Linked DNA regions of Styela clava. The protein of the gene in region 2 interacts with the protein of the main gene of each other region in a biochemical or structural test. Links are inferred from orthologs where the notes say so. Each region holds a gene or a part of one and is shown on either strand. Other genes may lie near its edges. The genes, in order: ubiquitin carboxyl-terminal hydrolase 10-like, uncharacterized protein LOC120345158 and recombining binding protein suppressor of hairless-like.

Region 1 (3,760 bases), on a different chromosome or scaffold from region 2:
TGTCTGTGTTGGCCAAGTGAATATACTCCCTGCCCATAGGTTTAAGTCCATTTACACAACATGATGTAAAGTAGGCAAACAAAACTAGTTACCCCATATTGGTACACAAACTTCTGGAGCGCTATAAAAAGACCTCAGTATCACAAGTGTTGACAAACGTCTACCATGGATGAGCATTAGACCAAGCAATTCAAATTGTCTACCGGTTTCTTTCTGACTGACTGATAGTCATCACTGCCCGTTCGCATTCATTGTTCATACTATATTTATTGCATTGTAAGCTGTAAAGATTGTTCTTTTTTCTGCTCAGACAAAATCATAAGTTCATAACTATGCATGCTGCATGTGCAAAAATATTTTTGTGAAATTTGTACTACTTACTGTGGTAATGAATGTATTCACCGTTTACAATAGAGAATTTTTGACTGAAAATAATTGTACCATGCAAGTATTTATTAAAGTGGAGAGATGGATTCAATTTTAGTTGTGACTAACAAAAAAATGAGGTATCTTTTAAACGATGCGTCTTCATTCCCTTTTCTCTAAATAAGGCCCCTGATATCTGAAGATTTGTAAGGAGTTATTTTTATATCGTACTGGTATCCTCCCAGTTCGACATAGCCTACACAATTTATTTCACCACCTATAGAGGGATGGGATTTAAACCTGAGATGTGTATTCCTAAAAAAAAAAATTTTAGAATGGTGCATATTGGATATATATTTATATATTTGCCATTCATTTTAATTCAGAATCTTTGTTTCATAATATGCCTCAAACTGTTTTTGCACAAATTAAGTTTTACTGATAAAGTGTTGATAAAATATATATCGTATTCTGTTACCTGAATTTCAAGAACATTTTTGCTCTCACAGTGCACACATCTTTACCTCGGCCATTTTTTTTTTGAGATTATCAATCCTGAGATATTGTCTTTTGTGTATTATTGCATTGTCATACAATTATACGTAAAATTACTGTATTGTTTCAAATATCATAAATACGACCAATATGGACATGCTTTGTACCCAGGAGAAAGGTCTTCGTTTTCTATACTATCAAACTCTTTTGAGGATTATAGAAATTGGTATTCTATCTTTCTGACTATCATTCAATGTTCTACATGAGATCTGAATTATGGAACGTGTTATATCTTGTTAATCTTGTCTCTCTCTTAGAAATAATAGCTTCTGTAGATATTATTTTTGTGATACAATGAGTAAAGGGAATAGATAGATATTTGGTGTACGGAAATTGTTTCAAAGAATATTTGTCACAAGCTTGCCGATCATGGCATCAGCACCTCGAGTAAGTTGAATTTATATATTTTAATTTGAAAATTACCATAAATTGTCCTTCATGAACGTAACCCGCAATTGTATAATAGTTTTATTGTTCATGAATTTGTGATGTACTCTATTGACTGTGACTGCAACAGTCAGGCCTTTGGAGTCAAGAGGTCGAAGGTTAACATGTTCTCTCTGAAGTCTGAGCCAGAGTCGCATTCTCTAACTCATCAAAATTATGAATTCCCTGGTATTTGGAGTGAGTCTGAGTTACAATTTCAGACTTTCAATGGTGATAAAATGAGTGAAGTCTTTTAACTCAAAATGTATTGACTCTACTAAGCATTCAAAACAGTCTATTAAATAAAGCTGGTTTGTTGACTCCATAATTTTTGTCATCAGTATTTGTTATCAGAGTCTAAGCTGGATTCGATGTCTGAATGTTTTACAAGTCATTGACAAAAATTTTTTTAATATCTGAAACAAAATTCTTTTGGGAAATTTTTTTATCCCACGCGACAGTCGTATAAACAGTATTCACAAATGCAAAACATTTGATAGAAGTATGTCGCTTAAACTTTTGCTCTTGTATGAAAATAATTATCGAGTTTGTGTCCGTATCTTACAGATCATAAAGCGCACTGTCTATAAATTGCTTAGATTGGGTACTTTTTCATACATAAGGCACATCAGACTATGAGGCACTACAGGTTTTAATATCCATGATCCATACATTAGGCGCATTGGCTGATAAAATTCATGATCAATTTTTAAGAAAAAAAAAGATTTAAAGTGTGTTGTATGGCCCTTAAATTACGGTATCTCTATAACTCTATCCTATTCTATGGTTTCGACTGCATTCAGTTTGTTGCAAGTTAATAAAGTAAGTCGCAATTTAACAATCCAAACTTATTTCACCTATCTATTAATATTGACATGGGTGTTTCTTTGATTATAGTATCATCGAAGTTTTGAATTGTGCAAATTGTATTTTTAGTTCAGTTTTGGGGATTTCACAGAGGAAGAACATAATTGTTATTTAATACAACCTGGATGCGTGGAGGTATTTTTTTATTCTCGTTTTCTATTTCAACAGACAACATATTTTACATTATGATATACCGGCAGTAATATTGATTGAAGCTTCGTATTATATTTGAGAATCTGAAAAAGAATCTTGTACATTGTGTATCTTCTTATAAATCTATTCTACACAAGTGGATCACAATAACTTATTCATATTAGGTCTCACTGTTGATAAGAATCTTGGTATTGAAACAAAATACCCTAATTCAGTTGTATGGTATGAAGAATGTATAAAGTGTGGTATTCACATTTAAGGCTTATTTCTTGCTCATTGGGTGGCATATATATATTGGCATACATCAATCTAATCAAAATTGAAATATTTTTTCAGTTTCCGAATTCATGCAATTATGTAACACGTAAGTGAACGTTTTCTTGATCTTATTTTTTTTTTAATTGAAATAAAATAATGTAGACCCAGAGATTTCGCAATAAATTGAATATTTGAATGAAGCAAAAAACCATATTTGAGGGGGTTCAATTCGTGCGAAAATTCATAATTTCATTATGGAAATAAAGTATTTTTATTAGATATTTCATTAATAGTATTATACTCATGTTTTGGTCTACATTTTGGCTACATTACTTGAGAGTTATTTAAAATAGAGCTTATTTAAAATAAAAAATATTAGAGTAATGTAAGACAAAATTTGAAGAGATGTTTTCCAAAGTTTTGTAATTTGATTTTGTTGTGTGATCTATTTTATTGATATTACAATGTAATTGGATGTAGAGAAGTACCGATACCACTTTTGTCACCGATACCGATCCGATACCAGCAAAAAACGCCGATACCGATACGCCGATACTACAAAAAGGCCGATATTCCGATACCGATACTATGTAATTATTACTTAATTAGGTGTGCTGTATAGGGCAGACGGGTTAAAACAACGGTCTTCGAGCGTTGGTCATAGTACACATTATTTCAGATCGAAAAAAAGATATATCACATAATATGAAGTTAATGTTTGGTGTTTGCTTTAACTGATTAAGATACATTGTACAGTAACGCTAGTAATCTCGGTGTTCAATTAGAAAACTCATAACCCGGAATGTCCAATTTGAATTTAATGTTAATAATATCGCGGCCTTCGAATATCGTTATTCGTGTTTAAAAGAATATCGAATATCACCCACACATTCTAGCGCCTACGTTCAAATTAAAAGCATTTCACAAATATTTTATTTCGTGGCTAATCGTAATCGTCGACGCAATAAGTCAAAGCCAACATGGAAGAATATCAATCAGCACCGACAAGAAGAAGGCCTACCTATAACCGTCGAGGATGTTTTTTTACTTTACTATTTTATAATATTTTACAATTGCTATCATATATTTTGAGACAGTCTGGGGCTAGGCGGTCATGTCAATATATCTATAAAGT
Region 2 (3,760 bases):
TTGTATTGACTGACTGTACTTTTTGTCATTTACGACAACATACATAAGACATTATTTTAGAGTTTGAGTACCATACTATAAATCTGTATGCTGGTATGCGAGTATTTCAAACTACTGTTATAAACGTCTATAGTCTGATAGTAGTCTTTGTACCGTATAATTCTAGTGAAGTAGTATAGAACAAACTAAAATTTTTGTCTAATTTCAAACTTTTTTGTATGGTATTTTCTGTATATTTACCAAAAATCTTTTAGCAAGGCGGCGGTGTGGCTCAACGGGCTAAGCGTTAGGAATACGCTCGCCACCGCACCTCTAATTACTCTGCGTGGGTTCGCAGGTTCGAATCCCATGTAGGGATGGTTATGTGCGAGAGGATTGCTGGACTCCTCGCCGTCGTTGGGTGGTTCACGTAACCGCTGGTCGGTTACGGCTTCCTCCACCACCAAGTCCATGCTTCCGAAGACAAACAATACAGTAAAAACTAATCCCATACCCGACTTGGAATGGTAACCGGACGAGAGGCCGTGGTTCGCCATATGGATAAGCCGTCTTATCGGCTTTCCTCTCCCCCGGGATAAATATGTAAATCCTATCCTATCCTATCCTATCCTTAAAAGCATGCAGTCAGTGAATACTGAAATAAGCTTACTCATAAATAATTAAAAATTTCAAAATATTAAATTAATAATTAGATGAAAAATACTAACCATTGTACTGTTGTAAGCAGTGTAGTAAAGAACTAAGGAATTTCTATTGTGTCTATTGGAGTTGGATGTATTACTGCATTATTAAGAATTTAAACAAGAAGATGTTAATTTTGAATTGAACACCTCCAAATAAATAAAAAAAAAAACTAAAATACCTTATCAAAATATTTAATTATGGATATTCTCAAATAAAGTAAACAATAATATGATTTTTATATCTTCGGATTAACAGCTCAACCAAATTCATCTCTTCATTTTGGAGCCCCACAAGGGAGAAAATCTCACACTCAATACTACTTGATTCATGTATTGATTTTTAGGTTAATCTCTTATTAATCTTATGGATGCAATAATGTCACTGAAAGATTAGTGCCATAACTGTATAATAATATATTATAGAATGTGGGAACTGTTTTAATAATCATTATGCTTTTAAACTGCTAGCTTGATATTTCTAGTTAAGCATTTTGAGCTATAGAAGCAAGACAGATTAGTCTGAGTTACAACACTGCCATATTTCCCAACTTGGGAGGGATTCCTTACCAAGGAGAAATATTGTCACTCGAGGAGGAATTTTGCTTTATATATGCTGTAGTCTTACAAGTATTGTTTAGTTCTTTATCCTTACTGTAGCACTTCTCTTGTGCATAACACTAGCTAAAAATCGATATATGAATACAGTTTTTTTATGTGTAGGGAGAGAGGAACATAGAGTTCCAAATAAGTTGAAGAAAGAAATTGAACGAAAAATATTGGGAAGCACTGGTTTATTTGAACGTCTTGGGGGTAGTAGGCTGTTTTTGATATAATGTATTCAATATTTTACAGATGATAGTTCAGTTAATTCCTTATCCACTGAAATAAAAGAAGGAATGTAATCAGCAATAAAGAGATCAAGTTAATTTATTTAATAAGGTTTTATCATATTTTACTCTTGTGACATACATATTGTATCGTATGTCGAGGAAGTGGATTTAACTTCAACAAAAAATGGATTTACCTCAATTTCGGATTATTTTTCAAGCGGCAATTTTTCTTCCATTTTTATTTGTTTACGGTATGTTATTTATTCTATTGTTTCATACAGTGTTGTAGATTGTTTTAGTCAGATATTTATCTAAAAAAGTCAATTGTGGAATGAAAATTCTCACATGAGTACAGTTGAGCTGTATAGGAGCATTCTTCACAATATTTCACCGAAATAAAATAGGAGATTAAATATTGCTTGATATATGTGATTTCTTCCTTGGTCATATTTTTGAGAAAATTTATGTGTATTGACGCTGTTTTATATTTTAGCGAGAATAATGAAGTTAAATAAAAATGTGCTTGGAATATGTTAATTATATGTTTCATTTTTTAGCATCTGGTTGTTCATCTAATGCGGATTGCACAAGTGGCCAAATATGTATAAGTTCAGTTTGCAGGTAATGTTTGCTACGTTCATTTTCATCTATTTATTGCATTGAGTTTTGTGGGAAAAATTTCGTATGTGCTATTGTGTTCAAACATAATTATGGGAAATTTTTCGTCTCTGTTTATTTGAAGAAATCAACAATTTGTATCCGTATGTTTCAAATACATAAAATAGCTGGTTTTCATTTAAATGATTATCACGTTATTGTATATCTATTAATGTTGAATATCAATTTTATGTTAACAGGATATGTATAGACCATTTAATTACATCCTGATTGCGTCTAGTTATAGGTTGTGCATGTATTACACCAATTAATTTGCAATATTCAGTTTTATATTTATTCTGAATATGCCTAATTTATACTATTTATCCGACTTTGTATTTTTTATAAAACAATTAACGGTACAAATAAAATTGTTTTCGAAACTTCTATTTTAAGAATTTATAGTATATTTTGAAAAAGACCCTGAACTTTGAGGATTTTACTCATTTTTAGGCATTTAGGCTGATTTTATTTTTTTCTTAAATTATTTAATATGAATGAATTTTATTCATAAAACTATCACATTATTTCTTTTATAGTGTATCTCCATGTGCTTCATCACCTTGTGATAATAGCGGAACGTGTGGCGTAGTAGCAACATCTTCCACTGACTATACATGGCAATGTTCTTGCCCATCTACATATATGGGTAAGCATATTTGAGAGTTTTGAAAGATTTAAAGTTATTACCACTTTATTGATGTGCCATCAAAATTTACCGTATTCATTTTTTTCACATCAGTCGGTCATGATTTTCTAATCTGAACTATTTTAAGGCATCTATTAGAGTGTGCCAGTTCCTTATATGGAACATTATTATTTACTGATTGTTTGTAATCATTTCTGGCGAATTCTATAATGAAATTTATTCTGTGTTTTCTTTAGGGACCACATGCAGTGATTACAATTACTGTCATTCAAACCCATGCAATCACGGAACTTGTACTGTCGTGTCAAACAGTTTTGAATGCACTTGCACGGATGGCTATTATGGTGACACGTGTGCCAATGATAAAGATGAATGTTCTGACAATCCTAACCTATGTGCGGTATGCCGATTCATTATATTACTCAATAATAGACATTGTTAATTCTATCTTTGTACCTTGGATACTAAGGCTGTTATCATAATTTTCCATATAGCTTACACTATGAAAAATCCAGCAATGTAACCATCGGAGGCAGTAATTCACAGTTTATTTACAGAAATAAAATTTCCGTTCACCTGGAAATTATATTTTTCGATACTGAGTCAATGATGCACACTATATCATATCCCTACATGTATGATGCAGTGACCGTTTTTTTACTAGTAATAGGGGTGATGCATACTGTGTCACTTATGTAAGCAAGAGTTTAAATGTACAGTGGTTAAACTGGGGTAATATGAGCATCAAAAACTAAAATTAGATTGTGTACTATACTATTAAATTGTTTAGCAGCTTAAAGCTTTTGATTTTATCAAGCTGGTGAAACTTGGTACGAAGTCTTCAACTAGTTCGTTCGTTGTTTAAAAAAAATAATGATATTTAAAAAACCCTGATTTTCATGAATCAGGATAGTAGCATCATCAACATGAGTTATGGCACA
Region 3 (3,760 bases), on a different chromosome or scaffold from region 2:
GTTCTATTAGTAGTCTTCTATCCAATAGTGTGTTTTCGAATTTTTTCCCCTGTGACCGAAAAGATTCGAAATAGTCAATTATTTCGTATAAAATCACGGCCACACTTCGATATGACATTCGGTACAACTTTTTCAAGATTTGGCTGGAATTTTGCTGGCATTGCGGTGGCGGTACGCTACCGATATTGAGAGAAGTTTACTGGTACCGTACCGGTTCTTATTTTCGGGATATCTTTTATTTTCATTGATCAAAAACAAAATTATTTGAGCCTACGCGATTTTCAAATATACAAAATAGAAAAACTGATATTCATTTAACTTTCGTATGAATAATACATTTTTATTAAAAAAAAAGTGCTGAACATAGATTATTCAAAAATGACCATATCAGGATGCTTCGGAATGTCTTGCAAGTCTCTAGATTCATAAAATTCGAAAAAGATTTTATTTAACCAAATTTTCGCTGTCGACTACGGTACCGGTAGGCTACAACGATACTCTAGATCAGTGGTTCTCAAACTTTTTGAAAAATTATGCATAACGGTCCCCTTTCAATTTTTCTGATGACTCGCAATCCACTAAAGAAATGAAAGCAAATAGCAACGCGGTAGGCTATATTAAGCATTCACCTATTGAATGACATTAAAACAGTTCAATGAGATGTGTGCGCCTGCTTGGCTCCTACTAGTTCTTCTAGCTTGGGTTCTGTTTTGAATAATGCAACTCTCATATCGTGTCTCACGTTCCATTCTGTTTCAACAAGTTGTTTTAATAACGAGTAGCGTATAAAAAGATGTGTCACATTCGTATGTTGTTGCAAAGGGAATAAGCATTTTTAGCGACATCGTGATAGGACGGTGCCACTGTGGTTTTTCTTTTCCTCCAGAACTCGTCACAGCAAAACCAAGATCTTATTTTTGAGGAAACACTGTGCCGTATATGTTTGACTTTGTCTTGCTAGAAATCAGGAAATAACGTATGTTACCAGTATTGTAAAGGTCCACCCTTGATGTCTTGGCTCGGTGGTGTGGCGCATCGAGCTAAGCGTTAGGAATACTCTGGCCACCGCATCTCTGATTACCCTTCGTAGGATCTAGGTTCGAATCCCATGCGGGGATGATCATGTGCGAGAGGATTGCTGGACTCCTCGCTGCCGTAGGGTGGTTCACATAACCGTTGGTCGGTTACGGCTTCCTCCACCATCAAGTCCATGCTTCGAAAACAAATAACTGGCTAACTAATCCCATACCTGACCTCTGGACCTAGACTGGTAACCGGACGAGAGGCCGTGGTTCGTCATATGAATAAGCCGTCTTATCGCCTTTCCTCTCCCCCTAGATAAATAAGTAAATCCTATCCTATCTTTGTATACATACGGTTCCAGTACAGCATTACATTCAGACATTTTACAGACTGTACGTGAGCGACTGAACACTTAGACTTGAAAAGGCTGGCCTGGAACAAAATCAAAATTTCACTTACAGACTAGGGTGAACCTTTCTATCTCTCTATACCTGTACCCTCATTCAGATATTTGAAACACTATGTTAGTATGTAACTATGGTACAGTGGTAACAGACGGAAGAAGTACTCGCATACTGGTAATGCCAGAATGTTGTCTGGTTGTATGTAACATTACAGGTACCGTACTTCTTCTGTCAGTTATCATAGTGTTTCGAATATCTGAATAAGGGTATAGATATAGACAGACAATGTGCCACTGCTGCCAGGCTACATTTTAACCAAATCATATTTTTTTAGCCAAGCCAAAAACTACAAAAAATATTCATTTTTTAGCTGCCAATGAGCATAAGCTAATTTCGTTTAAACTATCATTTCACTTGGTGATTGTATTTGGATATATTCAACAATACCATTTTCTGATTTTTGACACTTGTGATAACACCAATCTTATGTTCTCTTGATTAGACTTTCCTTGATGTCTTAATAGTATGGAACAACAACATAACCATCCAGATGATCGACCATCGCCCCCTCGTAATAATGAAATAGAAGGTGGTAGTAGTAATGCGGCAGAACCACATATTTCAGGAATTATGCGAAGGTCATTTATTTTTTTATTATTACTTTGTGACTTTTATTATATCTATACTTATTAAAGGTAATCATTTATTTTTCTTGGGGCTATGTCTCCAATTAATATCTCTGATAGCAGCCAAATTTATCCAGGCAACAATTTTATGCTTAATAAAAACTTTCAAGTACAAGAATCTATATTCTTTCCCTAGTTTTCTTTTTGACAGCTAGTTTCTTGTCAGAATCTCCATGGTAGCATTCAATATTATGTGTATGCACTAACTGTGGTTCTAATTTTGCTTCTTAGGTGCGCGTTCGACGAAATCCCACCACAACGAAGGCTTACTAGGTTCGTTATCGAGCAGGCTATTATCTTTCAATATTAATAAATGCATGTATACTACTATGCTTCAACAATATTGTATCGTGTGATAAATTTAAAATATGCTTGTGTTGTGTATAATTAACATTGGAATGATATTTAAAACAAAATTTCACATTACATTTTGTGTATTCTCAGGGAAGCTATGAGGAAATATTTGAGTGATAGAACTGACCAAACATTGGTTATTCTTCATGCAAAAGTTGCTCAGAAATCTTATGGAAATGAAAAACGGTATGCTGATATTTTGAAAATATGAACATTAATAATCATAGAACTACACTAAAATATGAAAATGTGTATCGTCTAAAAAAAAACATCTATTTTAGCCATTTTATTAAAATAACCCCCTAAACTGTTAGGCACCATGCTTTTATAAAGAAGTTAGTAGCAATTGTTTGGGCTCTGGGATTTGGCTTTGCAGCTGATAATTTGTTTGTTTGTTTACAACATTTCATATATTTTATTTATAATATACTTCCTGTAGGTTCTTTTGTCCTCCACCTTGCATATATCTGTTTGGAGGGTGGAAACACAATTTAGTTCAATATGAAAAAAATGAGCAGCAACCCCCAGATGACAATAGTCAAGTTCATGCATTTATTGGTATTGGGAGTAGTGAACAAGAGATGCAACAACTCAATTTGGAAGGAAAGGTATTAAACATAGTTTTGTGCTATCAAGTTCTTTTAGAGATCTAGAAAGGAATTATTCTGTGAAATTTTGTTTGGTAGCATAAAATTGTGATTTGAAGGTTTGTGCATTGTTTAATTGTTGACTAAATGGTTAGAAAATACTTGCAATTGTGCCACATGTATTGTCATACATTCAGATTACTGGATGAGAATGTACGCTTTGTCATATGAAAAAGCTATCTGATCAATCATGTCTTTCTATTGGTTTCAGGGTTTACTTGCTTATTTCCTCAATTTTATTCTTGACAGCATGTGGCTGTTGTCTGTTTTTATTCAAATTGTTTCATATTAACATTATGTTGAACATATGCTGAGCTGTGAATTTTTTGCTATTGTTTCATTGTTATACTAGAATTTCAAAAGATTTTTACATTGGATAATTTCATTTTTTTTAGAACTTTTGCACTGCAAAGACATTATATATTTCCGATACAGACAAAAGAAAACATTTTATGTTATCTGTCAAAATGTTTTTTGCCAGTGGAGTTGAAGTTGGTGCATTCAACAGTAGACGTATTAAAGTCATCAGCAAACCATCAAAAAAGAAGCAGTCATTGAAAAATGCGGATTGTGAGTATTATTTTGGTATTCAGGCTACGAATGTACTGTGCCAAAAACAATGCAGTTGAATAATACTGAAGTTAGC

Evidence for each region.
Region 1: the proteins of uncharacterized protein LOC120345158 (region 2) and ubiquitin carboxyl-terminal hydrolase 10-like form a complex in vitro, tested with the Homo sapiens proteins (2 studies listed by BioGRID, with this or other methods). The link is inferred for Styela clava from reciprocal best matches to the Homo sapiens genes NOTCH1 and USP10.
Region 3: the proteins of uncharacterized protein LOC120345158 (region 2) and recombining binding protein suppressor of hairless-like form a complex in vitro, tested with the Homo sapiens proteins (5 studies listed by BioGRID and IntAct, with this or other methods). The link is inferred for Styela clava from reciprocal best matches to the Homo sapiens genes NOTCH1 and RBPJ.

What each region holds. Positions count from the first base shown.
Region 1 is NC_135262.1:10,710,195-10,713,954, reverse strand, and holds the start of ubiquitin carboxyl-terminal hydrolase 10-like, read left to right. Parts: upstream 1-1,176; 5' UTR 1,177-1,290; coding exon 1,291-1,308; intron 1,309-2,283; coding exon 2,284-2,349; intron 2,350-2,703; coding exon 2,704-2,731; intron 2,732-3,760. UniProt on the Homo sapiens protein: Hydrolase that can remove conjugated ubiquitin from target proteins such as p53/TP53, RPS2/us5, RPS3/us3, RPS10/eS10, BECN1, SNX3 and CFTR.
Region 2 is NC_135254.1:15,461,853-15,465,612, forward strand, and holds the start of uncharacterized protein LOC120345158, read left to right. Parts: upstream 1-1,520; 5' UTR 1,521-1,697; coding exon 1,698-1,764; intron 1,765-2,070; coding exon 2,071-2,134; intron 2,135-2,709; coding exon 2,710-2,819; intron 2,820-3,055; coding exon 3,056-3,219; intron 3,220-3,760. UniProt on the Homo sapiens protein: Functions as a receptor for membrane-bound ligands Jagged-1 (JAG1), Jagged-2 (JAG2) and Delta-1 (DLL1) to regulate cell-fate determination.
Region 3 is NC_135263.1:7,198,236-7,201,995, forward strand, and holds the start of recombining binding protein suppressor of hairless-like, read left to right. Parts: upstream 1-1,469; 5' UTR 1,470-1,490; intron 1,491-1,674; exon of another isoform or gene 1,675-1,929; 5' UTR 1,930-1,952; coding exon 1,953-2,065; intron 2,066-2,344; coding exon 2,345-2,386; intron 2,387-2,557; coding exon 2,558-2,653; intron 2,654-2,906; coding exon 2,907-3,075; intron 3,076-3,509; coding exon 3,510-3,684; intron 3,685-3,760. UniProt on the Homo sapiens protein: Transcriptional regulator that plays a central role in Notch signaling, a signaling pathway involved in cell-cell communication that regulates a broad spectrum of cell-fate determinations.